Oryzias latipes: one gene and its partners. The protein of the gene in region 5 purifies or fractionates together with the protein of the main gene of each other region. This does not show direct contact. Links are inferred from orthologs where the notes say so. Each region holds a gene or a part of one and is shown on either strand. Other genes may lie near its edges.

Region 1 (4,014 bases), on a different chromosome or scaffold from region 5:
AATTAAAGTAATTTTTTTTTCCTTCGTAATGAATTAAAATTCTTGAACTCTCATATGTCTAAATTTGAGCCGGCAGATCTTCATTTTTATAACAATAAAAAGAACAAAACAGTATAACCTGCAAGCTTTCATTCATTTAGAAATTTTCCAACATTATTAATATACCAGCTGACTGTAGGGGAGCTATATAAACTCATCATCCTCTCCCTCCCTCTCCCTCATGGTGCAGAGACCTGTGCAAAGTAGGTCAAAATAACTCGGCAAAACAGGGTAAAACACAGTAAAACAGCAAAACAACTAAACACATTTGGTCAAAAACCCACACTTAAACCCAAATCCGTCCAGACAGGCAAAGGGAATGGTATCCCACAATCCCTTGCAGTGCCGATCTAACAGCAGCACCAAAGTTACACCTACTTCATTGAATTAATTTGAATGAAAGTAAAATAACTGTCTGAAAACTACGTGTTATTTTTAAACTGACTTAACAAATAAAACGATTTTTAATTATCTTAACTGAAGCAAATAATTAAGTTAGATCAAAGTAAAAAAGTTTCTCTTTCCAACATCCATATGTGGTCTTATCACCCTCTCATGGTGGAAAAAGTATTATCTGAGCTTCTTCATCCACTAAATCATCTTCAAATGGACACGCCATGCTGCTTCACCTCTCTGAAAACAAACTAACCTTCAACTAAACCTGCTCCAGACCAGGTTATGTTCAGAGCATGAGTTGCCATGGCAACTTGACATACCCTGAAACATACCTCCATTTCTGGAACCGAAAGCTGAGGTTATCCACTTCCTTAGCCTCAAACTTACCGTGGGAGCTAGCAGAACCTGCTCTCTGGAATACCCCCCTGTTCTTTTTCTGCAATAACAAACATTTTGATCAAACTCGTTCCAGCATCATGTATGCGCAGGCGCGACAGAGAGAGGGGGGGCTCTTAAGGTATAAACCTGGACAGTATGACTGCTGCCAATTAAATATTGGCGGATCTGCTTCTTTGAGTTCTTGAAATTATACATCTATTCCTTAAATAAAACTTGTGCTCGCGCAGCCTCTTCCTAGACTCACAACGGCGCTCACCTCGATATTAAAATCAGTGAAACGTTGAAAGGGGCTCCGGCTGCAGCCGCGCAGCAGCGTCATGACGTCATCACGCACACGACGCTGGTAGAAAAAAAACCCATCCTCTGATTCGCGGGAAAATGAAAAAAATGGCGCCGGCGAGAGTTTGAAGCTCGGAGCCGCCAAACGGAGGCAGAGGGAGAGGAGAGGCACAGAAAACGAGGGACGGCGGGACACTGCTGCCGCGCCAGAGGTTCGGTATCCCCGTTCGTCCGTCCGTCGGGCTGTTACCGGGCCGAATCGGGCTCCGAGCTCCAAAGGACTGAGAAGGGCGTGATTGGATCCGCCAGAGAAGAGGTGAGAAGATGCCCTGCGTCCTTCAGCAGGTCTGGCCCGCCCGGCTCAGCCTGCAGGGGAACTGTCTGGCGTCAGCGTGCATTTATATATGCAGAACCGGTGCTGGTACCAAAACGTTTTAAACATTTAGTGATGCATGACCCGCCAGCATGCTTCGGGAGTTTTCCGTTAGTGTGAGCTGTCACGGATGTCAGGGTGCGGTAGTTTATGCGGTTGTAGGTCAGGTAAGGAAATTAGATGGGAGGATGCAGTGCGCATGCTCTGTGGTGTCAAAACCGCACAAACAGTTCAGGAATGAATCACAGCCACTAACGGCCTGTCTCTCTCTCTCTCTCTGTTCTAAACCAGCGTCTCTCTCCCTCTGTCTCTCCATCCATCTCTTTGCAGGATGTTTGAGGACTTGATCGAAGCTTTCTGCGGTCTGGAGCCTCAGGTGTCTCCTGGGGGCGAGGGGAGCCATAGTGGGACATTGGCAGAGGTGGAGGGGGCAGAGTCCAGTCTGAGTGTGGGGCAGTTTGTGCTTTGCCATTGGTCAGACGGACTGTACTACCTAGGAAAGATACAGAGGGTAAGGTTTGGCTGCAGACTCACCTGTCCGTGAACGCGGGGACTCTTCTGTTCTTATTGGCTGCTTTAAGCTTTTTACCTTCTGACAGGTGAGCCCCCCCAGACAGAGCTGCTTCGTCACATTTGAGGACAACTCCAAGTTCTGGGTCCTCTTGAAGGACATCCAGCATGGTGAGTCAGGCGGGCTCACCAAATGCTTGAAGCAGCCTCTAGATGCTCTCTGTGTGACTGAAGGATGTTTTCATTAGCGCCGCCACATTTAGAGATCATTTTCTGATTTATTTCTAAAGCGTTTGCAGTGGTCTTTTAATGCTGATGCTGCTGCTGTTTTTAGCCAAAATCGACGTTTTCTAAGACATAGTTTCTGCAGAGCGGCAGGAAATCATTAAAACTACCGGTACACGTCTTAACTGTGACTGTTGGTGCAGAGCAGCCCCGCCCCCCTTCCCCTCCCTCCCTGTTGCTGTCCAACAGGGAGGGCTGCATTTTTTTCTTCTTCTGGTTCACAGTGATGTGAAAGGAAAAATAAAATTCAAAAGTGCAATTTTGGGCTCAATTTTCTTTATAAATGTCATCCATCATCAGATAAAAATGCTCCAAGAAAATCTTAAAGGAGCCAAAAATACAGTTTTTCAACTGAGTGAGTCTTTAGTACGGTGGCCCTGAAGGGCAGATCACCTCACTCCACACAAAAAATGTCAAAATCACAACAATAACCATAGCAAAACAAATATTAAAAAACAGCATTACATTTGAGAAAATAAAACTAAATTTCAGAAACGTAAAAAATAAAAAACCTTTTAGAAAAACCAAAGTCATTTCCAGAAACGAGATAAAATGTTAGACAAATGAAACACATTAAGCTTAAGCGTAGGAACTCTGGGACGTCACTGATTGATTTATTTTTTCAAACGTGCCTTCAATGGCCCCACGCTTTTATGATTAGTATGGAGCATATCCAGAATCGCTCTATGCTAAATAACTTTGGGTTGAACAGACAGACAAATCCAATCAGCGATATCCCATAGTACATACCTTATCCAGTTTCTCCCTCGCCGCGTTTCCGTTAGGGCTGTGACGATAACCGCATCACCACGGTAATGAGATTATCACCGTGATCATCTCATCACCTTGTTGTTTTTTTTTTTGAAAGCTCTGCATATGGTGCGGGATTTGAACTATAATAAACACATTCATCTTTGCTGATAATTTGTTTTTTCTGTGAGTCCTGTGTTCAAACTTCAAGAGCTTCTGGGGGAATTTCTATTGTATTCATTTCCATTACAAGCTGCGTGCGTTCTTGAGTAGTGTGCGTCACGACCGCCTGCCAGAGGATTGTGTGTGTGTGTGTGTGTGTGTGTGTGTAGGGGAGGGGAAGCAAGAGTCCCGACACCGCGACTCCTGCTGCTTCATCACGGCGGTGATCAAAATCCCTCACTGTCACAGCTGTACTCCAGAGCAGGTTAATAAAGAATCAGTCACCGTTCTTCTGGGGGAAACCTTTCATTACTGTTCTCCTTCACTCCTAACACCAAGCATGAACGCGCGCACACCCCCAACACGCTTGTGCACTCTCACTCACTCTTTTGCTGCTCCGCTCCTTCCTCTTACACACGCAGCGCGCTGACACACACACACACACTCATTCTACAACACCTGTATACCTTAATTTCTGGACTATAGAGCGCACCTGGTTATAAGCACCATTACATTTTTAAAGGATAGAACATTTTGTACATACATAAGCCACACCTGTCTATAAGCCGCATGTGGCCACATTGAAACATGTGTTGTAGAATGAGGATGTTTGTGTGCTGAAACCACACGCGTGTGTAAGAAAGAGGGGGGAGCGCGTGCAGCAGAAGTGTGTTGGGGGTGTGCGTTCATGTTTGATATACAGAGTGAAGGAAAACTGTAATAACAGAAGATTCCCCTCCAGAAGAATGGTGAATGATTCTTTATTAACCCGCTCTGGAGGCTCTGAAGGTCCGAACAGGGAAGTGAACCCCGAAGGAAGA
Region 2 (3,500 bases), on a different chromosome or scaffold from region 5:
TGTTTCAAGTCTCAGCAACTCCATTTTCTCAGGAGATGTCGTCCATCGCTTCTGCACCAACGTTTGAACAGAGTTTGCAGTGCTAGCTTTAGCTTTAGCTTCAACTCCTTTCACAAATCCCTGGTCGTAAGCGAGTGAAGTGCTGCTGCTGTGGCGTTTGTCCGCAGACGGCAGCACCGACTCTGTGGCTGCGCAGACGAGGAGCAGACAGGCAGCTGCAGTCTCCACGGTGTCGGTGGTTCTTTACCTACTTCACCACCTGTGTGGAGGGAGGAGTTGGTCGGGTGAATGACAGCATCGCTCTCCACGATGGAGATGTCGGCTTGGACAACTTGCAACTACAGGCGACAACGACAAACAACAGGCAACAACATGGTGGTAAAACACAGTGAATGACCAGGAGCACCACATGAGAAAGTATGAGGAAGAGCAGAAGGGGAGGAAGAGTGGCTAAGAAGATCACAGAAGACAAGGATGAGGCAATGGAAGGTGGAGTTTTAGGAATTAGGAAGCAAGACAGGTGGAATTTCCTCTTTAAAACATTTCCTTTTTCTTTTCTAGAAAAATCAATGTGACAGCTGTCGTCCTGCTTCCTAAACCTAATGATTCGGTTCCAGGTGACAGATCCATCCACCAGGCTGCCCTCAGTGACTAACATCCAGTTTACACTCATCCATCTTCATCATTTGGATAAAAACTCTGGCATCGCAGCCGTTGGGCAGCCAGCTGTAAGGATGAAAACCTGAAAAGAACCGCCGCAGGTCTGCACACAAGAGGAAGCGAGCTGCTTCCAACGGCTTTCAGGAGATCCTTGAAAGTTCTTTTCCTCTCAGAGGAACAAGACTTCTTTTCCTTTTTTATTGATTAGTTGCTTTCTGCTCTTCATCTCAGACAAGACAAAGAGAGTTCAGCTGTTTTATGTCGGATGAAACCAAATAGTCTCATTTCTCTTCACACTGTCAGGATTTTTCTTGTCATTAGAAGAGGCGAGCGATCAAATTCATTTATTTAGCAAAAGAAGGAGTAATGCTTAATGACTTGATACGTCTCTCGTTTTACTTGTAACTGAAAAATGAAAGCCAGAATTTCTCCACTTAAACATCTTGTTTGCGGGGAGTTGGATGCTCTATAGAACCTGACGTGTTCTTACTCATTTAGGAGGAACTGCTGCATGGATGACAAAGGTCAGGGTAAAAACACATCAGCAGCCGCATGGCAGAAAGGATTTCTAGGGACATTTTAACTCGTGGATTAGAAAAAAAATTAAGCATAAATGTATATTGAGTCTACTTGTATATTTTAATTAGATTTCCTGATTTCCAAAACAAACCTTGAAACCTTTTTTTTTTTTTTTCTGCATAAGCACACAGTCATTTGCTTTAGAGCTATAGTGTCTAATTTCAAATTCTGTTGACCAACTTTAATAGAAACTGTCTAAATGGGGGGGCCATGCCACCGTGGGAAAAAACACGAACCCCTGCAGGTCGCTCTACTACAGGAGGTGATGTTCAGCTACAACCTTCAAGGATTTCACATGTCAAAGCCCGCTGAGGCCGGGGGGCGGGTTGAGGGCTTGGGGAGCTCACCTAGGTCGTCTTTAAGCTCAAGTTCAGCATTGGTGGGGTTGATGACCCCCTCCACGTCAAAGCCAGCTAAGTTACTGACCTCGCTGTGGATAAGGTTGAGCTGTAAAAGGGGGAAGGAGGAGCAGGCATGCAGAAGAGGGAATGGAGCAAAGAAGGAAGAGGTGAGGAAGCAGAGCCATTAAAACCGGATTCTCTGTAGATTAGAGGGATACCTTTAGCTTCTGGATCAATCTTGGAGCAATAGTTGAAATTCAAAGCGGTGTGGTTGAAAAACGTATTACCTACTTCAGGTCAGACATAAAATAATAAACATTTTTCATAGTATAATAAAATCTAAATATAAAGTTACAAACAGACCAGGCTTTCTTAGCCCACAGTGTTCACACTGGACAAACAGGGAGGGGATTCTTCTTCTTTTCTTTTTTTAGTGTTTACTAGTGCGTGAACAGTTGGGAGAGGCTTGGTGCGAAATGTCAAAGCGGTCCAAATCTGGTGGATCTTGCTCCAGGATTTTTTCTTACTTTCAATTCTTGTCTGATTTATGAAAGACATGGGCGGCAGTGGCTCAGGCGGTTGAGCAGGGCGTCCAATGGTCAAGGGTCAGCAGTGCGAACCCCGCTCCCCCCAGTCAACTGTCCTTGTGTCCTTGGGCAAGACACTTCAATTGCCTCCAGAGTAGCTCCACTGGTGGTTGAATGTGCATGAATGTCCCGGTGATGGTCAGAGGGGCTGTAGGCATGAACTGGCAGTCTGTCAGTCTGCCCCAGGACAGCTGAGGCTGCATCAGTAGTTACCATCAGCAAGTATGAATGAAAAATGGACACACTGGAAGATAAATCCAATCCATTATTATTGTTATGAATCCAGCTGCACACAAACCACAAATGTCCATGATCAATTTTCAAATGTTGGCACTTCCGTTATTTAAAGGGGACGTCATCCATACGCCTCTACCAAATCCGAGTCTCCGATTGGTCAAAGTTAGATCTAGTTTGTTTTGTGCGCTAGTCGTGGAAACTTGCATGGCGAGGCGTGAACGTGATAGTTTTGTAACGCAGAAGCAGGAAAAGGTATCCCTCTAAAATATGATGTCAGTGAGCATCTCACTGTTTAAAATTCATCACAGAGAATTCAGAATTCACCAGCTAGAATCACTCTGGCCTTAAGAGAGGCGCTAAAGTGCAGAGAACTGAAAACAAGAAGAAGTGAAGATAGAAAACAGCATGAAACTGAAAAGGTTTTCTGGGAGGAAGCTCCCAAAAGAGTTCCCTAAAATAACTTAGAGTGACATCAGTGGTTCTTCTATGATCTTTGTTAGTAAGAGAGTAATTACTGATCAGACTGTGACGCATTCGCTGCTGCAGAAACATTCAAACAATGAGCGAGTTTTCTGTTAAACACGTCCAGCTCTGCTGATGCCACTAAATGTAGCCAAATCGCTTTTAGGTCATGTGAATACACTCAGCAATCAAAGTATTTGTTTGGCATTTTGTGCAGCTTCTGTTGCTGCATTTATCACGTTTTTAAATCGGTTTTCTGATGCAGAAAACAGTCCACAGCATCTTTAAGTATCACATGCTGCATTTGATTCATCTCACAGACAAAAGTAAATGTCCAGGCATGGCCTGTAAAATGACATGGCTCAGTTAAACTCCATACTATTTATTTAACAGATTCAAATTCTGCTTAAGAGCTTCAGCAGGACTGAAAGAGAGAACTCACTCAGGTCGTAACCATCACAGATACAGACTTCAAAAATGTACAACTTAAGACAAAATTACAATTTTTGGACAGTATCTCACAAAAACGAAGAATAAATGTTCAAATCGTCTGCTAGAACTGTTTTCTAATTAGTAGTGTGGACATTAGATTGGTTAACTGTGTCAAATACAGTCTTCCTTGGTGACATGGTGG
Region 3 (4,189 bases), on a different chromosome or scaffold from region 5:
ATAAAACCTACAGTTAAGAAAATAAAACTTTAAATTAAGGAAGCCTTCATTTTATTCATCTATGTTTAATCTAAACTGTTTTAAATGAGTCAAATGAATTTCTGATGCACATAAAACCAACATGGTTTACTATTTGATTTGGTTTTTGCAATAGAGTCTCATGACATTAAAATCAGTATTTCAGTTATCTTACTGGAAACGCTTAAGGGCCTCAACATTAAATTTTCTTTAAGGTTTAAGCACTTGTATAACCAAATTTATCCTTTAAGGGCAAATAGTTGTCTAAAATGTATTCAGAATTATTTTAAAATATATATTTATATACCAGACTCTACTAATAAAAATACTATTTTAAGAACCCTTTAAACATCTTTAAGTATCCCTGTAAATTAGAAAACAAGTATTTTCTTTTAATAAAAACTGTTAAGATGCAAAATCTCAAATTGAATATGTGGCTTATGAAGACCTACAGCTGCCAACACTACAAGAAAATCTTGTTTTGATGCTGTGATTAAATGTGAAATGGGATGTTGTATTGTATCCATTGTATAGTAAGTTTTTCTATAAATATGTTGTATCTATGTCTGTTTCTTTGTTTTTTTTACACAGGTGAAGACTAGCCTTTGGCTTTTTAACCATGTCTAATCATGTGGATCTGGAAAGTGCACATTTTAATAAATGAGGGTGCAGATACATAATTTAAAAAACAAAACAATGTGAACATAAAAAGCTGAACAGCTTGAATTTATGATAAGCAGAAACGTGCATAACCTACATACTTTCTCCTGAATGGAAAATAAACTAAATCAAATGAACAGATTTTGGTTTTAAACTCAACCTGACGATTTTGTGAATATTAAACAGATAAATACGTAACACCTCAAAATCCCAGGGCCATGTCAGGCCTGCACATCCCAGCCTTTGTTACTCGACCATTCTAAGTCACAATGTACTCGTGTGTGGTTGGGATTTGCTAAAAGGTACTAAATGACAGAGTTTTTAATCCGTTTCATGGTGTAAACCAACTGACATCCAAATGTCCAGCTTTTTTTGAACCCACGATCAACAGAGGCCTATATTTCTGACGTAGTTTTCTGACACCATCGACTGTCGTTAGCATTTAGCCACTAGCAAGTACCACACATTTTGACAGCAGTTACTCCATCCTCGTTTTATGAAGGAAATCCAACATAAAAAGGTCAAATATATTTAGAAAATAAAAACTGGGATGTCAATAAAATAACTAATAGGTCAAACTGCTGCATCAGTGAAAACAGTGACACTTGCTAATGTAGCACTGGTTGTACTGAACTGCGTAGTTGGCGTACCGGTATGTCAACCTATGTAGACATGTAATTAAATGCCAGAGAAACGACGACAACTGCTTGTTGTCGTTTTTCCCCTTGTTTGTTGTACTTAGCAGTTCAAACTATACCGCAAAGGAGGATCTCCAAAATGACCAATAATTGTGGCTAACTAGCGACACGCCGGGGGAGGGGGGAGAATAAAAGGCAGCCCTGGCTGTATTTTTAATAAAACAAAAGCTCGAATCATCAACTAAAAAAACGCCAAGTTCGTATCCGAGCCTTGATACGAGCATGGCTGACAAGTTTTAAGGAAAACAAAATGAGGCACATCACGCACACAAATGCTCTCACCTTCTCTGTAACGTTTGCTTGGGGAGGGGAGACCAAATCCCCCGAAATACCGCAATGTCAAAAGTAGGAGACGACGAGACAAACAAGCTAATATCGAGAAAGCAATTTCAAGACCAAGGTTAGCCAAGATTGGTCAAATGTAACGATTACCCGATGTTTCCTAAGCTGACTTCAGGCCAACGGCTTGAACTCACTCACTCACTGCGGCGGTGTCGACGGAATTAGCCAACACCAGCTAAACCAAACTGTATAGTCATTGCGTGCCAACAAAGAGCACGTTTTTTTTATGTTTAGACTTCAACAAGTACAAAGAAAGCTAATCGTTTTATCCACGTAACGTTACGTATATATTGGTCAAACTGACAAGCACCGAGTCCGAGGCTAGTTAATGATTAGCAAGCTAATGCTAGCTTAACGAAATAATCTTTTTTTTTTCTTAAAAGACTTTAACAAGATGAGGAAAAAACGTAAAACAGTTGGCAACTAAATATATAGCTAGGCCTGCTAGTCAACTAAACAACTACAAACCTTATCAATAGGAACTCGCTATTGAAGGCAGTCACGCAGGTTACGTACAGCGACGTTAAATCAAACAAGAAGAGCGTTACAGCAAAAAAGAAAAAAAAATGCTAATCAATATTAGCTCGCCTTGTTGTCACTTCTTGGCTAGCGCTTTGCCAGCTCGACAGGACGGCACCGAAACCTAGATTTTCAAAAACAACTTCACCTTTAATGTATCCCAACCCGAACGCACTGAACGCCCCATTGGCCGTTTCTATTTAAGATTTTTCATGCAGCTAGCAGTTAGCACACAAACACCAGAAAGAAATGGCCTCTGATAGATTTTAGACACACACAAAAAACAGGAAAGCAGGAACGGGAATCGAGACATTACGCAGAACTGAATCACCAGTCTTCCGAAATGAGGTGATACGGTATAACCTGAAAATCTACAAATACTGTTGGTCGAGATGTCAATGTTGTCAAATTCAACATTTGACCGAATGTTGTTACCTATTTGTTCCAGTGTTGTAGTTGTAACAGACAGGGCAACAGCTCCTCTTTTCTCTCTACCTAGCAGCTTCACATCAGCTGAGCGGCCTACAACTGCAGTATACATCCGCCTAATTCATCCGCTCAGGGACTACTTCCTTCTAAATTTGTTTTGTTTGAACGTTTTTTAAAATCCATCTAGAGTATTGATTCGATGTAGAATAAAAACATGTTTGTATTTGAAGAGCGGGCTTATTATTTTTTTTTGTATGTACATCAGTGTCATATAAAAGTAGTCATTATTATTTCTTTCCCCTAATACCCAAACATTAAATAGTAAATAAATTTGGTGTATTATATAATCTTTCTCCTGGTTTCTTACACTTAAATGATAATACCAAACAATGGCATTATTATTTAAATCTTAGTTTTGTGGTTAGATTTGTGCTAATCTTCTCAAAGTTTAATTATTGTGTCCTTTTTGGGTAGTTGTTGCATTTTTATTTACAATTGAATTTGTTATTGATTTCATGAAATCTATTTTTAATAAATTATTATAGAGATGATGTAGCTTATTTGTGCATAAAATACGTTTCAAAATAACAAATTTTATTGCATTTTTTAACATTTTAAAAATAACATATAAATCAATAACCTCACCAATATCAATAATCATTCATTCAATTATATATAGCATATAGATTTAGGTAAATGTATTCCAGCTTTGAACTAAATGCACACAGATGATATGCAATTTCAAAACAATCACCACTCTGTTTTATTGCAATTATCCAAGTGTAAAGTCTTTTACTTAATGTGCAATATCGGAAAATGTTCAAAATATAAATATCTAATTTATATTACTACAGAATGAAAAAAAAGTGTTGAAGTCACCAGTTCAAAAATTGAAAACTATTAAGTGGCAAGCAGTGGGAAATGCTTCAAAATGCAAGCGAAACAGCTATATATATTAAAAAAAACACCTCTCTCAACCTTTTCGCGGGTGGTTTCTCACACAAGCTCGGGTCCTCTACCAGAGGCCTGGGAGCTTGAGGGTCTTGTGGTATCTTAGCTGTTCCTAGCACTGAGCTTTTCTGGACTGAGAGGTCTGAGGTCTTTCCAGGTATCTGTTGTAGCCACTCCTCCAGCTTGGGGGTTACTGCCCCGAGTGCTCCAATTACCACAGGCACCACTATCACCTTCACTTTCCAGGCTTTCTCCAGTTCTTCTCTGAGTCCCTGGTATTTCTCCAGTTTCTCATGTTCCTTCTTCCTGATGTTTCATCCACCACAACGGCTTTGCTCTGTTCTTTATCCACCTCTACAATGTCTGGTTGGTTTGCCATTACCATCCTATCAGTCTGGATCTGGAAGTCCCAGAAGTGTGTGTGTGTGTGTGTGTGTGTGGGTGTGTGGGTGTGTGGGGGTGTGTGTGTGTGTGTGTGTGTGTGTGCGTGCGTGCGTGCGTGCGTGCGTGCGTGCGTGCGTGCATGCGTGTATATATACATATACATACATAGCTTCTGTACATAACCACTG
Region 4 (3,500 bases), on a different chromosome or scaffold from region 5:
GGGACCAGGGCCACAAGACTAACCTCCAGCAGTGTTACTGCTACTGCGGCGATCCGGGAGAGTGAGTGAGCCTCCACAGAGCACGGTTCTGCCTCAGGAGATGCTGAGCGTGTGTTCTGTCTGTGCAGCTGGTACCTGAAGATGCTGCAGTGCAAACAGTGTCAGCAGTGGTTCCATGAAGCCTGTCTCCATTGTTTACCTATGCCCATGCTCTACGGTGACAGGTACTGTCCTTTCTGCAAGCATCATCACTTCAACTGTTGGTTTGATTCTCTCCTGGAGGAGCACAGCTCCAGAACCAGAACCAGCGGTGCTTCAGTAACAGATGGGTGCACAGCTTCACACTCAGTTAGTTAATGGATGAAATGACTTGCTGGGTAACACCTGGTTTGTTAGCTTCCATGAAAGCCGCAGAAGTCCTAATCAAACTCAGTATTGTCAGTATTTACTACAGAAGAAGCGCCGTCCAACACCATCAATCAAAATCAATCTGATCGTTCTCCTGAACTTTACTTTTGCATCAAATGCTGTTAAGTGAGTTTTTATTTTTCCCTCCACGAACTCGTTTGGGACGGCAAGTCATCAAACCAGGTTAGAGAAACACGGAGGAACGGCTGGAATTGCTATGACTCGGCAGAAGTTAAAGATGGAAAGAAGTCATGAATTCAGACATGGAGACGTGGCTCTTCACCTTAAGTGATCTCTGGATGTCACCCGTGTGTAAACGAGACATTCAGTCGATGCGTCCATGTTGCTATGAGGCTAAAAACTCGACAGTAGCTTCTCCCACATGTGGCGGGACTGTCTGGTTTATGAACGCGTTTTTGGACGGCAGCATAGGTGACTTGACGTGCGTAGAAAAAGGCAGCAAACTCGCATTTGATGCGAATCAAACCCGATCACGCTGGGTGTGAGCGCAGCATTTCTCGTGATTTATACTCCGGATCGGCTCGAATATGTTTATTTTCCTTACTATCTTTTATTTGACCCTGTGACTTACACTCCAGTGCAACTTGTACTTGGGGAAAATACAGTAATCTGATTACAATAATACGGTGGCCGACAGGGCTCACACTACATACACAAGAAATGACGCAACAGCATTACCCGAACCAATACGGGAAATCTGGATCTAAGGCTTTTTGTCTAACACTATGTAAAGTTACGTTTAGTAGGTATCTAGCTCATTTAGCTCGCCTCGTTCAGTCAGCAAAGAGAGGCGCTGTAGCCGTGTTCTTCAGACTTTCTATTGAACAGTCTCTTTCCAACTACTACACTGTGCAAAGCAATCCGTCTCTAATCAGCTTCCTAGCTCTGCACTGTGCACCAACATGTGACTACTCGCCTAGCATGCTGGGTATTCATGCATGCTGGGTAATACAGTTCTTTATAACTAACGTCAATATACAACAACTTGATATTCATATACAGTACAGACCAAAAGTTTGGACACACCTTCTCATTCAAAGAGTTTTCTTTATTTTTATGACTATGAAAATTGTAGAGTCACACAGTAGGCATCAAAACTATGAATGAACACATGTGGAATAATATACAAAAGAAAAAAGTGTGAAACAACTGAAAATATGTCATATTGTAGGTTCTTCATAGTAGCCACCTTTTGCTTTGATTACTGCTTTGCACACTCCAAGCATTCTCTCTTCTTCTTCTACTCACAGGAATATTTTCTTTTGTGTACATTTTTTCATATGCAAATGTTAATTTTGTCTTTTTAACCCTTGTGCTATCTTGTGGGGTCCAAATGACCCCACCCTTACATTGACATGTTCTCGCTACCATGACAAAGGTGGATAAAGGTGGAAAGATTTCATGTAATCCATGGACACCAGTGAAGATCACAAATCATTGAAGAAAAAAGGTTCAGCCTGGTGGGGTCCAGATGACCCAACTCCCAATGTTAAAGTCCCTCGGAGGTCATCTGGACCCCACAAGACAGCACAAGGGGTTTTAATGAAGCATGTACTAGTTAACCAAAGCAGTCTGTTGACATGCCACATAAAAACATTTGAACTGTTTTTTTTTAATAAAGAAAACTTGACTTTTTTTAGAAAACATTTTCATGCCAACTACCGTAATGCTGTTTGTTTGGTTCTTTTTCCCTCCAGGTTTTATTTGTTCATCTGTTCAGTCTGCAACGGTGGACCAGAGTTTGTGAGCCGGCTGCCGCTCAGCTGGTGAGTTTGTCCGGAAGCCGTCACGCGTCCTCATTGAGGGAGGGGGTGTTCGTCCTCAAACTCTGCAGTAACAAATCTGTCTGCATGTTTTTAGTTGCTGGGATTAAAAACACTGATTTCCTTTTGGGAGCACTTAACTCCGCCCACCTCCACGACCTTATTGACCCCTTTTCTTGGTTTCAGATTTACTTGGAAAGTGCGGCATTGATTCGTCACATCCATCCATCGGTTGTCTTTTGAACAACGGATTCTAATATTTTCAGAATAAAATTGCCTATTCTGTTTAAAATGTGGGATTTTCATAAAGTTCCATCATTATTCGGTTAAACCTGGCAGTTAGAAGAGCATTGAAATCAAATCACCATCTCAGTCTTTTGCCCAGTAATCAGTTATCCCGCCTAAAATGAATGCCAGCATACAGCGACGCAAACTCTGATTCTGCAAACCCCGTCCTGTCTTGCAGATCTTTTGTAGGCTGTTGCTAGGCAACATGAATTGGAACTCCCTCCACGGTTCCTCTTTTGGACTGAAGTCCAGAGACTGGCTAGAACTCTCCAGAACCTTGAGATGCTTTCTATGTAGCCGCTCCTTCACTGCCCGGGCCGTGTGTTTGGGGTTATTTCCTGCTGGAAGACCCAGACAGGCTTCATCCTCCATGACCTCATTCAGTCTTTCCTTAACCCGGGTCAGTCATCTGGCCCACTTAGCATGAAACAAAAGAGCATGGTACCCTAAAGTCTTTCCCTGGTGTTCTCTGACAGCTCTTTGGTCTTGGTCATGGTGGAGGGTTACACTCTGACTGGTTTAGGCTGTGGACAGGCGTCTGATTCTGATAAGGAGTTTGAACAGGTGACATTGATGCAGGTAAACAGTGGAGGATAGAAGAGCTTCTCACAGAAGAAGAAACAGAATTAAGATAAATACTTCTGTTCTGCTTTATTATACAAATAAGTTCATTAAAAATCAATCAGTTTTATTTCTTTTTTTACATTTTAAGAGTGGGAGCGTTTCTGTGATTGACATTTCAGACCAAACTCATCCTTTGAGGGAAAACCTGCAGAGTCTGTGACTGTTGTGATTTGATTTTTTTCTGTTTCTGTGGTAAACTCTGATAATCAGCCATATTAAGGCAGTTTCCCTGAGTTTCTTCAATAATGTAGTTGTAATTTAATTTGTAATAGAAGTTTCTATGGAAATGTTTCAGGAAGGATGTGGCTCACCTGAGTTTGTACAACATGAGTGTGATTCACAAGAAGAAGTACTTTGACTCTGAAAATCACTTGTTGGAGTACATCAACGACAACT
Region 5 (2,498 bases):
TTTTCTGAGGATTTTTTTATTTGACAGAAAATCCAGTGCTAGATTAAATTACAGGGAAAAAGCCTTGTGTATAGGAAATCCTAAATTCATCTTCTTAACCGTTTTGTCCCTTTCGGGGTCGCGGGCGAAGGCAGGGGACATCCTGGACAGGTCGCCACAGATCACTCACCCATGCACCCTTAGGGGCAATTTAGAGGAACCAATGAACCAATGGAGCAAGGTTTTAAAACCATCATCACCTGCAGCACAGGCTGACCTCTGACCCCTGTCTGCAGATCATCTCGCAGGACGAGGCAGACCGCAGAGGGAAGGTCTACGACAAATACATGTGCAGCTTCCTCTTCAACCTCAATAACGGTGAGACGGGTCCCAGAGCAGCCAAAGGTCCAGTGCGGCTCCAGCCTTAAACCCTTTTTCTCTGCAGATTTCGTGGTTGATGCCACAAGGAAAGGAAACAAGATCCGCTTCGCCAACCACTCGGTCAACCCCAACTGCTATGCAAAGGGTAAGGGGGCGAGACTGTTAGCGACCGTCACTGGCTTCAGGCTCTTTTGTGAGGCCCTCTTCTGCTGTCTGCAGTGATGATGGTGAACGGGGATCACCGAATCGGCATCTTTGCCAAGAGAGCCATCCAGACCGGAGAGGAGCTCTTCTTTGACTACAGGTCAGTCCAACACCTCCAGTTCTCACCTGCAGCTCCACTATAATCGTTAGACACAAACAGATCAGCGTTTCCTGTTTTGGTGAGACGTAGTTTCAGAAGAACTTAGTCTTCCAAACATCAACCAGATGTGTCCTCGAGTTCCCGTCAGGTAAAGCTGGGAGACTGATGCTGTTTGTGGACGTCTTCTGTGCAGGTACAGCCAGGCGGACGCCCTGAAGTACGTGGGGATCGAGCGCGAGATGGAGATCGCCTGATCCCGACCTCTACCTCTGTGGCTCTGCAACACAAAGAAGGCCTTAACAACAAAGCAACACAATAACTTCAGGAAAACCAGGCTGCTTCTCCAAACTCCGCTCTTCAGGAAAACTGGGAATATTTGGACTCTGTGTTTCATCATTTTCCTCTTAAAACCCCTCTCCTCTGGGACTGCTGGACTGGTGAATGTTCCCTCCTGTGAGGCCTTGCCTCACGGCGTAAACATCCCCCAAATATTGGCACAGGAAAGACAAACTCCTCTTCAGGGACCGAAGTCCTCCAGCAGAACCGTTTGCCCTCTTTCTTCTTCTCAGATCCGGACCGACCTCCTTCAGGTGCTAGAACCAGCACACGCTCCAGCGCCGCTGCTCGTTCAAACCAAACAGGAGCTGAAGCAGTTCTGTCATGTTCCTCTGATGCTTTGATTGTCCATCTGTCCCCACATTGGTACTGACACTGCGTTCAGTTGGAATCAGATTATTGGTGCTGGTTCTCCGCTCTGGAACCAGATCCAGCAGGGGAAAAGAACCTGCTGGAGTGTAACAGATCGGAATCCTAAACTGATTCACATCAGGAGTCTGTTGATTGACAATCCAGTTTCTCTCCATCTTCCAGATGATGAAAGGTTTGATGGGAAAAAGCCGGCATGTCCCTGTCTGCTGTGCCTCGTCTCATGAACAATCACCGTGTCACCTGGACTCCACCCCCCCTCGGTGCTTAGACCAGCTCACTGCCTCTTCAAGATGTCAGCCGGGGGCTTCAGAGCATTCCTCTTCTCTGCTCTCTGGTGCTTGTAGACCCTCTGAACCCTGACCTCTCAGCAGCACCAGCTTCATTCTCCTGCTGAGAAACGTCTTTCTTCTTCTGCACCTGTAATTTATGGACTCGGTGGTGGGAGACTTCAGGGCTTCACGTGGTGCTTCTTCACCGGCAGGATTTCTGTGTTCCTCCTTTTCCTGTCCGGTTGGTTCTCCGTGATCGTTCTTCAGATTGGTTGTCCGGTCACATAGGTGCTGATTACTGTTTACAGGGATTTGTTTGTTCAAAGTGATGCAGAATAAAATATTGTGAAACGTTGAGATTCTGGCTTTTGCTGTTTCAAGGTCAAATGCTCCTGATGTGAAACTCGTCAGAGAAGGAAACGCAGTTTAGAGAAATCTGTTTTTATTTATCACACATTTAGAAAATGAACCACACTATACAAATGTCCACCGTTCAGTGATGAATCTGGCCTCCTGCATGAACCCATGTGAGATGTGGCCGCGGCGGCTGGATCCCGAGTGACTCCTGTCATCCTTGCGTTGTGGCGGTCACTGTGGTGCGGGTAGGCAGTAGCATGCAGAAACCTTTGGATGCGGCTCTCCTGACTGGCTGTAGACTACTTCATACATTTGCACTATATGCAGAGAAGGTTTTGTTTGTTCCTCTTTGAGTCTTTATTTACAATAAAAGGATGAAGCGAGCGAGTCGTACGGATGGAACGGGACAGGCGATCGCGCTGATGGAGGTTGGAGCTCCATCACTGCAGGGGGAGCAGTTCTTCGTCGGGTTGGTGGGTCTGTGTGGTCGCATGACTCAG
Region 6 (3,500 bases), on a different chromosome or scaffold from region 5:
TGAGGGCCATCCGGTCTCTGAATAATTGGAGCAAGAGCACGGTTTGCATACCAGTTCAACACAAGCGGCTAAAAGGAACTTCCTCTGTAGGGTGGCAGGGCGTTCCCTTAGAGAAAGGGTCCCTACTGCTCTGGTTTAACGTCATTCATAGACGGATGTTTCGATCCAGAAAAAGCTTTGGAGCTCAAACAGGACCGACCGGCTGCTCCGTGGACGCCGGGTGCAAAGCGCAGACGCCTCTGCGCTCCGCCCTCGCTCTGTGGGCTCCTTGCCTCTCCCTTCCTATCTTCGCGAGGGGGGCGCCGGAAAGGAGCGCTTTGTGCTTGTCCAGACACTGCGCGGTCTGGGCGCAGCTGCCCTTGGACGGAGCGAACCGTGTCTCTGAGCAGAGCAGCCGGACTCATAGTTTTGTGTTTGAGGGGAGGATGCTTTGTTACGTGTGGGAGACTTCGGACTGCGATCTGTAGGTGAACGAGCAGCCGAATTCAGGAGAACCATGTCTCCCGTCTCCAAGCAGAGCTCAGGCCTCCAGCCCACACAGCGGGTTTGGGGCAGTGTGTGAGCTTTTCAAAGCAGAAGTGTAGCTCAGTCCTTAGAAAACCGTTCAAACAATCACGTGGATTTGTGTTTCCAGTTGTGTCCCGACAAAATAAAGGCCGATGTTATTCCAACATGTTTACGTGCAGCCAAGATGCTGATTGCGGCATTTCCCGCATGGATTTTATGTTCATCCAGGCTAAATGTTGTTGTTAGCGCATGTTAGCATTCTCGTAACCATACGTCCAGCTTCGTTCTGCCACTAAGAAAGCACTGACCACACAGATTAAAAATAAAATGATGAGTGAACAGGTGCTTCATAATACCTATTACATTAACAAAAGCACGTTTAGAAGATCGTCTTGTATATATATATATATATATATATACTGCTACATACTGTATATGCATGTGGCAGCTCAGCCTGTTTACAGCGGGACTCGTTTAGTCTTCCGGTATTTTAAACAGAACTGCGCATGTGCGAATGATTTATTCCAACCAAAAGTGCTGCGAATGTAAACGTTTGTTCTGATCGGAAAATGATTTTCTGGGTCCATGTACACAGTTAAATTCTAATCCGACCATTGATCTGACTACGATGTTTTGCACATGTAACCATGGCTAATGTCTCTCAGCTGGCCTGGGAACGTCTCGGGGTCCCTCCCAGAGGAGCTGGAGGAAGTGGCATGAGGGAAGTCTGGGCATCTTTGGTTAGACTACTGCCCCCGCGAACCGGTCCCGGATAAGTGGAAGAAGATGGACGGATTTAAACTTGAAAGTACACATTGTGAACTTGAAGGAAATATTGAAAACTGGAACGCCTGTGTCTTCCCTCCTCTAATGTGGCGAACAGTGGTAATAATGCCCTCTTGAAAGTTTGGTACCCAACATTTTTTATATGCTTGATTGATTTTGAGTTTAAAACTGTTCTCAAATTAACCATGTTGTTATTTAATCACTTAAGCCGATCCTAATCTATATTTGAGTCAGCAGGATTCTGTGAAAACAGGAGCCCAAATCAGGGCAGGGTTTTTCTTTTTTTGCATCTCCAAGAAACATCCCGTTGTGGAGTCAGAGTTCCTCACAGCCAAAAAGAAAGACTCACTTTTAGTTATTTGACTCAAGCCAAAAATTGATTGCTATTGCCAGACATTGATCACATTTTTGAACAGAATTTGCCAACTGACCTCATGAACAGTGTTTATAATTATGATGATGTCAGCAGTTTCAAAAATACATTTTAGACGTCCGCGGGGCTCACCCTGCTCCAAATGAGACGGGCTGGATTTACCAACCTTTTCCGATGCGTGATACTGACAGGCGGGTCTGTAATGAGGGGCGACGTATCCGATGTCAGCGGAGGTGGGGCTCGGACCTGCAGCCCGAAAAGACACTTTTTCTTCTTGATCTCTTTTCCAGAGACAAACCTAGACGACAGGGCATTAGGTTGCATCATCGCATTAGGTTGCATCATCGCAAGTGTCCTTTTTTCAATAACCCCTCTTTAAAAACTAATAGTGATTCTTCTGCAATGTAACACAAAGTAGGTGCTGCCCTGATGAGAGGCGCACAAACACTTCAAGGTAGAGACTATAATTAACTGGAGCACAATTAAAGCAGATGTTTAAAGCCTGGAGAAATATGTTGTTTTTATTGACTACAAAATACACATTTTAATGAAAATCGACTTACAGCAATCACTTTACGGGTTTTATTGGTGTATTACCAACAACTTGTGTTTGCTACTAAAACAGAAAGTGGCTCATTTGAACTATTTCTGCTCCATTTCTCCCTTATTTGAACCTACATGTCTAAAACAGAACCTAGCAGGTATTTCTCTCTCCATTTGATACAACCTACCTGTCCTTGTGGGAGTTGAGAGCGTTAAGCAGATTGTGGAAACGGTCCTGTCTTGGTGTGTCAGACAGCTGAAAAACAGAAAAGGATTAAAATGCCTGCAGATCTTTTTTTATAATGATGATATGTATCAACGATTTGGACAATTTGATGAGTTACTGAAAAAGGAGAGATAACTCGACTCATCTGAATTTTTTTTAAATGGTTTCTGAATGACGGAACCAAAAGTGGCAATCACAAAAAAATCTGGCCTCCAAGAAAATTAATTTATCACTAGCTATTACCAAGAGATGTTAGAAAGTTTATTCTTAAAAAAGCCTGTTTCAAGCTAAAGACTGATTTAAATAATTAAATGTAAGAGAAAGAAAAAGTTAAAGAAAAAATGCTAAAAGATCTAAATGAAACAAAATAAAATCCATTTGTAAAGGGTAAAAAATAAAGGTATGACACAAAAACAGATCAAACTAAAATGAGAGATAACATCTGAACCAATTATATATTTATATTATACCAGGGCGCAGATATATAACGAATGTTGTTATTTACTATGATGAAAACAAACATTTCTAAACAAAAATCTTAAACTAGAAACTAGAAAATCAAAGGCTGCAAAAAAAAGATAAGTATTGTTTGATAAAACCGAAACTTCAAGATCAAAAAGTAAAATAAAACGTTTAAAATGACTCTTTTTTGAATGGCTAGAATGAATTCTTAGCTAATTTAATGTGTTCCAAAGAGGAAGAGAAATGCATGTCCTACTTTAGATTGGTTTAGTTGGAAATTCTTTTTTATAAAAATCACAAACTTAAATTAATTGTAAATAAATATATACATGTATATATATATTATGATCTTTAAGACCAAAAAGCTGAATAAGAAACTTCAAAAAGCTCTTTTCGGGTTGTTTTATGTGTGAATTACGTTTGCAAGTAGAAGCGAACTCCAGTTTTTATCTCTGAAAAAAATATTGAGAAGGTTTTAAAATTTTAAAATAATTACATTTACCTAAGAAATTGTGATTTGGTTTAAAAAAAATGGATTATTTTTGATCAGGTTACAATGTCGCATTGATGTTTATTACTGTTAAATTTTTAATTTGATAAGTC
Region 7 (3,967 bases), on a different chromosome or scaffold from region 5:
TGTTTTTAGCACACTGTTGCACTGTTTTAAGGGCAACTCTTACCTCTTTCTTGGGTCTTCCTCTGCGTTTCCCCGCTGAAGATTGAGCTGCCGCTGCCTTCTGTGAACAAAAGGGACACAAGGTCAGACATTCTGCAGTGAAGAGGCTTCGGCCATCTGCATTTTTTTTTATTTGAGAGAGTGACAGTGCCCTAAACTGCCTGTAGATGGCAGTCACACTTTAACAATGACAGGAGGGGAGGGGGCATTGGGTTCATTGGCTATTATCTGGATGGCCTACAGGAACTGCATACGGGGCACTCCAGTTCGCAGGCCACCTGGTCTGAGGCTCAGAGACAGCTGGTGAAATCGAGCGAAGACCCAGAAGCCCTCTCTGCAGAGCAGGCGCTGCTGCTAAAGCGATCGTGCCGCGTGCACGCCTGTCCCAAACTCTGTCTGCCGCTCTCCCTTTTCCCATGCATTAAAAACATGGGCTGAGCACACGGGGGAGCTGGAGGGTTGGGGCGAGGGAGAAAAATCTGATGTTGCTATGGAGACGACAGGCAGAGAGAAGAACTAGGGCTGTGTACTGGTGGGGGGTGGGGGGGCTAAGTGTCAACTTGGAAACAGTATTGCAGCCTCTGCACCTGCACTGCCTGCACTCTGCAGGAAGCTGGAGGACAGGATGACACCCCCCCCCACCACCACCACCACCACCATCACACACACACACACCTCAAAAAGTAAGGCACTAAACCAGTGGGTTTTTACAATGGGGAAACCATAACTATGCCATTAGTGACAAGAGGGGAAGAAGACACTAAATGTCACAAATGACAGCTCAACGTCCTTTAAGAGTATGTGGTCAGCAGCTGCTGCGCTGCTAAACCAAATGGATGCAGGGGGCAATGGATGTGTTGGAAATTCTGCTCCTTCACATTGTATGTCAACTTACTTTGCCCTTGCCGCCGGTCTTGTTTTTGCTGCCCTTTGGTCGTCCTCTGGGCCTCTTTGGAGTCGGGGATCCACTGGGCTCCTGGTGATCAAAGCGACCCAGAGTTAATTCAAGTTTTATTGCAGTGCGTTTTTTTTCTTCTTATTGGGAGACTGGCATCACCAATAATCAACAGGAGGCGAGTAATCGTATTCATGCGTAATTTGTGGTTGGATGGTGTCGTGGCTGACTTGCCTTCTGTTGCATTTGTAGCTTGTTTACAGCTGCTGCTCTTAGCAACCAGGCAACTCAGTAGTAAACCACAGCAGACTGACTGACAGGTCTATGAGCCACTCTGCTTGGACTGGGCTATGTCATCCATTACATGGAGCACATAGGTGGGCGAGAGGATGGGGGGGAGGGGGGTGGGGGGTTAAACCGGTTTAAAGGTGTAGGGTTACAGGTTGCTTTGAAATGGTGGTGGGGGGGTTGCAAGTTGCGGGCCTCTACTTGGATTTTAGGGCATGCATGGAGCACTTCACTCTCCCGGTGCAACACATGCACAATTACAGATCCACAGCATGCACGCCTATACGAAACGAGAAGGGGGTGTAAAATGTGCGTTTACTTACGTCAGTCGTCTTTACCTGGGGCTGCTTACGGGGTCTTCCACGCCCTCTCTTCTCTGCCGCCTCTTTCTCTTTCGGCGAGACGGTTCCCTTGTCGCTCATGCTTACTTTAGCTCTTGGAACCTACGAGGAGAGAGTCCACAGATTTGGCGCTGTTGCAGCAGCAGCAGGAGGAGGACGAGGCGTCGAGTTCACGCACAACACAAAGCGTCTAACCCGCTAAAGCCAATGACCGCATTTAAAACTAACATATTCAAATAAAATCCGACCGTCGCCAAACACACGAACCCGGTTTAACTCAATTAATCCGCGCTTACTTCCAGGTCTATTTCCGTCTCATCCGCGCTCCATTACACAGCACCGTGCTACACAGAACCAGACAACGAAGGCGATCGCATGTTAATGCACAGACTCGAGGGGCGGTGGGAGGAAAAAAGGGGAGGAGGGCGGGGGGACACTACTGAACCCGTTGCACCGTTCCCGAACCAAACATATTAGGGGCCCGTCCTGCCTGGAGCTGTTGTGACCAATGGTCGGGCCTGTGCACGAATCCATCTCACAGCAGGTCTGCACGCAGGGGCCACCGAGAACACAATGGCTGCTATGTGCTCGTTTGCATTTGAAGGCTAAGCATCGGCTACATGCGCGCGACTTTTAGGGTCCCCCCTATAATTAAAAATAAAAATTAAAAAAATCCCTGATATTTTACAAAACATGACGGTAAATTTAAGGCGACTGGAAGGCAGGCCAAAAGACATCTTCACGTTCAAAGAATGCGGCGTCCTGTAAGCTAGCTTAAATGTAGTAATTTGCTTGAAGCTAACCGACTACATTCGGTTCACGCCGGATTAATCAGCGCTTACCTGTTACTAGTCCGCTTTCCCCGTCCTTAATTTTGTTCAGAAATGCCCCTGAAGCCTGGCCGAACCGGTTCAAAAACCTTGCAACGATCTATAGGCTGGAGCTTTTTTTCGTCAGACAACGCACAGCCCGCCCCATTTAAAAAACCCTGCTCACGCGGCCGACAAAAGAAAAAAAACCCGCTTTGAATTGAAGAAAAAAAAAATCAACATTTCATCCAAACAACTGCTTATATGTAAATAAATATAGTTTACCAGCAAAACAAGAAGATTATTCCAACGGTGTCCTGAATGTAGCACGTGCGTCTGGTCTCGTGAAGATAAAGAAAAAAGGCGCGAGCCAGGAGGAGATTTTTGGCCAATTTAAAGAGCCGCCCTCATGGGAGCAGGAACACTGGAGGGCGGAGATATGATAAATGGGGCCACCAACAGTACCACAGAAGCTCAGCCCCCCTCCACCCAACCACTCCTTATGGCGCGGATTCTTTACATTTTCTTGATTCGGTTTGAAAACGCAAAACACATGTTGGAAAGTATCGGAAGGAACTTTTCACATAAAATAAAACTGACGGAAAGTACATTTTCAATGTTCAAATATAATATGTGGTGTTTAGTATTTTGTCCTTTTGCTGAACAGTAGGTCTGCATTCCAGTCTCCACTGTAATGGTGAATGAACTATGACCTCCCCCAATGTAAACACATGCCTCCTTTATACTAGGAGCATTCAGCTCTCCTGCTTATAGTCCCAGAAATTTCATTTCAAACTGTCAAATAAGAACCTAAAACGTACAAACACCCCTCTCAAAAATATCAAATAAATGCACACTAATTGGAGCTGAAGTTAATTTTTTAAACATATATTCAGATGAAGTTGGCTGCAAAAAGGCTGCTGACTCATTAGCTGCTGGTTTGATTCCCTGCTGGAACATTGTGTTCTCTTGTGTTACAGAGGCACATACATCCATTCATCTGTTCTTAGGTGTAAAACTGTCCAGTTACTTTAGTTTAAGCAGCTTTAAACAAAATTAATAAATATAAATTGCTATAATATTTTTGTACTATAATAGTTTGAAAAAAAAAACTATTTACATAGCTTTTTAAGCTTTAATAATACCAAAAGAAATGTGGATTTGTTATAACAAAATCGATTGCCATAAGTGTTTCTTTTGGATTTAACATTTAAAAAATAAATAATTAGAATAATTTCCATAACTTTTACTAACTTACATGTTAGTTTTGGACTTTTGCATGATTTTTAAACACATTTTTTTCTGTCTTATTTTCTGTAGTGAATAAACTTTCTTGTATTGTATGAAAACTTCAAATACAAACAGAGTTTTATGGACTAATGTGAACATTTTATAAAAGCGTGCTATTGTAAGATACAACTTTAAAGAAACACACACACACATAATGTAAAAATGTGTTTAATGTTTAAATCACAAGAACATTGTACCTGGTACTGTGCAAAATCTTTGCAGCTTATACCTTTCGTTTTTTGCTTTGAAATTTACTAGAAAACCCAATGTGAAATATTAACTGCGATTCCTGAAAATTCTTATTT

The links.
Region 1: the proteins of ezh2 (region 5) and phf19 purify together in Homo sapiens (affinity purification with mass spectrometry; 10 studies listed by BioGRID and IntAct, counting the BioPlex papers as one, with this or other methods). This does not show direct contact. The link is inferred for Oryzias latipes from reciprocal best matches to the Homo sapiens genes EZH2 and PHF19.
Region 2: the proteins of ezh2 (region 5) and core histone macro-H2A.1 purify together in Homo sapiens (affinity purification with mass spectrometry; 3 studies listed by BioGRID and IntAct, with this or other methods). This does not show direct contact. The link is inferred for Oryzias latipes from reciprocal best matches to the Homo sapiens genes EZH2 and MACROH2A1.
Region 3: the proteins of ezh2 (region 5) and trip12 purify together in Homo sapiens (affinity purification with mass spectrometry; 3 studies listed by BioGRID, with this or other methods). This does not show direct contact. The link is inferred for Oryzias latipes from reciprocal best matches to the Homo sapiens genes EZH2 and TRIP12.
Region 4: the proteins of ezh2 (region 5) and mtf2 purify together in Homo sapiens (affinity purification with mass spectrometry; 10 studies listed by BioGRID and IntAct, with this or other methods). This does not show direct contact. The link is inferred for Oryzias latipes from reciprocal best matches to the Homo sapiens genes EZH2 and MTF2.
Region 6: the proteins of ezh2 (region 5) and PHD finger protein 1 purify together in Homo sapiens (affinity purification with mass spectrometry; 15 studies listed by BioGRID and IntAct, with this or other methods). This does not show direct contact. The link is inferred for Oryzias latipes from reciprocal best matches to the Homo sapiens genes EZH2 and PHF1.
Region 7: the proteins of ezh2 (region 5) and hmga1 purify together in Homo sapiens (affinity purification with mass spectrometry; 3 studies listed by BioGRID and IntAct, with this or other methods). This does not show direct contact. The link is inferred for Oryzias latipes from reciprocal best matches to the Homo sapiens genes EZH2 and HMGA1.

The regions. Positions count from the first base shown.
Region 1 is NC_019867.2:31,490,816-31,494,829, forward strand, and holds the start of phf19 (PHD finger protein 19), read left to right. Parts: upstream 1-1,214; 5' UTR 1,215-1,429; intron 1,430-1,816; 5' UTR 1,817-1,817; coding exon 1,818-1,997; intron 1,998-2,085; coding exon 2,086-2,167; intron 2,168-4,014.
Region 2 is NC_019872.2:3,504,713-3,508,212, reverse strand, and holds part of core histone macro-H2A.1, read right to left. Parts: intron 1,687-3,500; coding exon 1,587-1,686; intron 339-1,586; coding exon of another isoform or gene 248-338; intron 1-247. UniProt on the Homo sapiens protein: Variant histone H2A which replaces conventional H2A in a subset of nucleosomes where it represses transcription. Nucleosomes wrap and compact DNA into chromatin, limiting DNA accessibility to the cellular machineries which require DNA as a template.
Region 3 is NC_019871.2:22,661,144-22,665,332, reverse strand, and holds the start of trip12 (E3 ubiquitin-protein ligase TRIP12), read right to left. Parts: upstream 2,801-4,189; 5' UTR 2,673-2,800; intron 2,278-2,672; exon of another isoform or gene 2,187-2,277; intron 1,889-2,186; exon of another isoform or gene 1,659-1,888; intron 1-1,658. UniProt on the Homo sapiens protein: E3 ubiquitin-protein ligase involved in ubiquitin fusion degradation (UFD) pathway and regulation of DNA repair.
Region 4 is NC_019875.2:5,988,268-5,991,767, forward strand, and holds part of mtf2 (metal-response element-binding transcription factor 2), read left to right. Parts: coding exon 1-61; intron 62-128; coding exon 129-224; intron 225-2,126; coding exon 2,127-2,195; intron 2,196-3,399; coding exon 3,400-3,500. UniProt on the Homo sapiens protein: Polycomb group (PcG) protein that specifically binds histone H3 trimethylated at 'Lys-36' (H3K36me3) and recruits the PRC2 complex, thus enhancing PRC2 H3K27me3 methylation activity.
Region 5 is NC_019878.2:3,242,524-3,245,021, reverse strand, and holds the end of ezh2 (histone-lysine N-methyltransferase EZH2), read left to right. Parts: intron 1-275; coding exon 276-357; intron 358-424; coding exon 425-505; intron 506-579; coding exon 580-664; intron 665-857; coding exon 858-918; 3' UTR 919-1,998; downstream 1,999-2,498. UniProt on the Homo sapiens protein: Polycomb group (PcG) protein. Catalytic subunit of the PRC2/EED-EZH2 complex, which methylates 'Lys-9' (H3K9me) and 'Lys-27' (H3K27me) of histone H3, leading to transcriptional repression of the affected target gene.
Region 6 is NC_019874.2:28,784,769-28,788,268, reverse strand, and holds part of PHD finger protein 1, read right to left. Parts: intron 2,466-3,500; coding exon 2,398-2,465; intron 1,965-2,397; coding exon 1,833-1,964; intron 1-1,832. UniProt on the Homo sapiens protein: Polycomb group (PcG) that specifically binds histone H3 trimethylated at 'Lys-36' (H3K36me3) and recruits the PRC2 complex. Involved in DNA damage response and is recruited at double-strand breaks (DSBs).
Region 7 is NC_019865.2:19,767,170-19,771,136, forward strand, and holds the start of hmga1 (high mobility group protein HMG-I/HMG-Y), read right to left. Parts: upstream 2,801-3,967; 5' UTR 2,658-2,800; intron 2,589-2,657; exon of another isoform or gene 2,406-2,588; intron 1,945-2,405; exon of another isoform or gene 1,860-1,944; intron 1,666-1,859; 5' UTR 1,645-1,665; coding exon 1,546-1,644; intron 1,016-1,545; coding exon 935-1,015; intron 101-934; coding exon 44-100; intron 1-43. UniProt on the Homo sapiens protein: HMG-I/Y bind preferentially to the minor groove of A+T rich regions in double-stranded DNA. It is suggested that these proteins could function in nucleosome phasing and in the 3'-end processing of mRNA transcripts.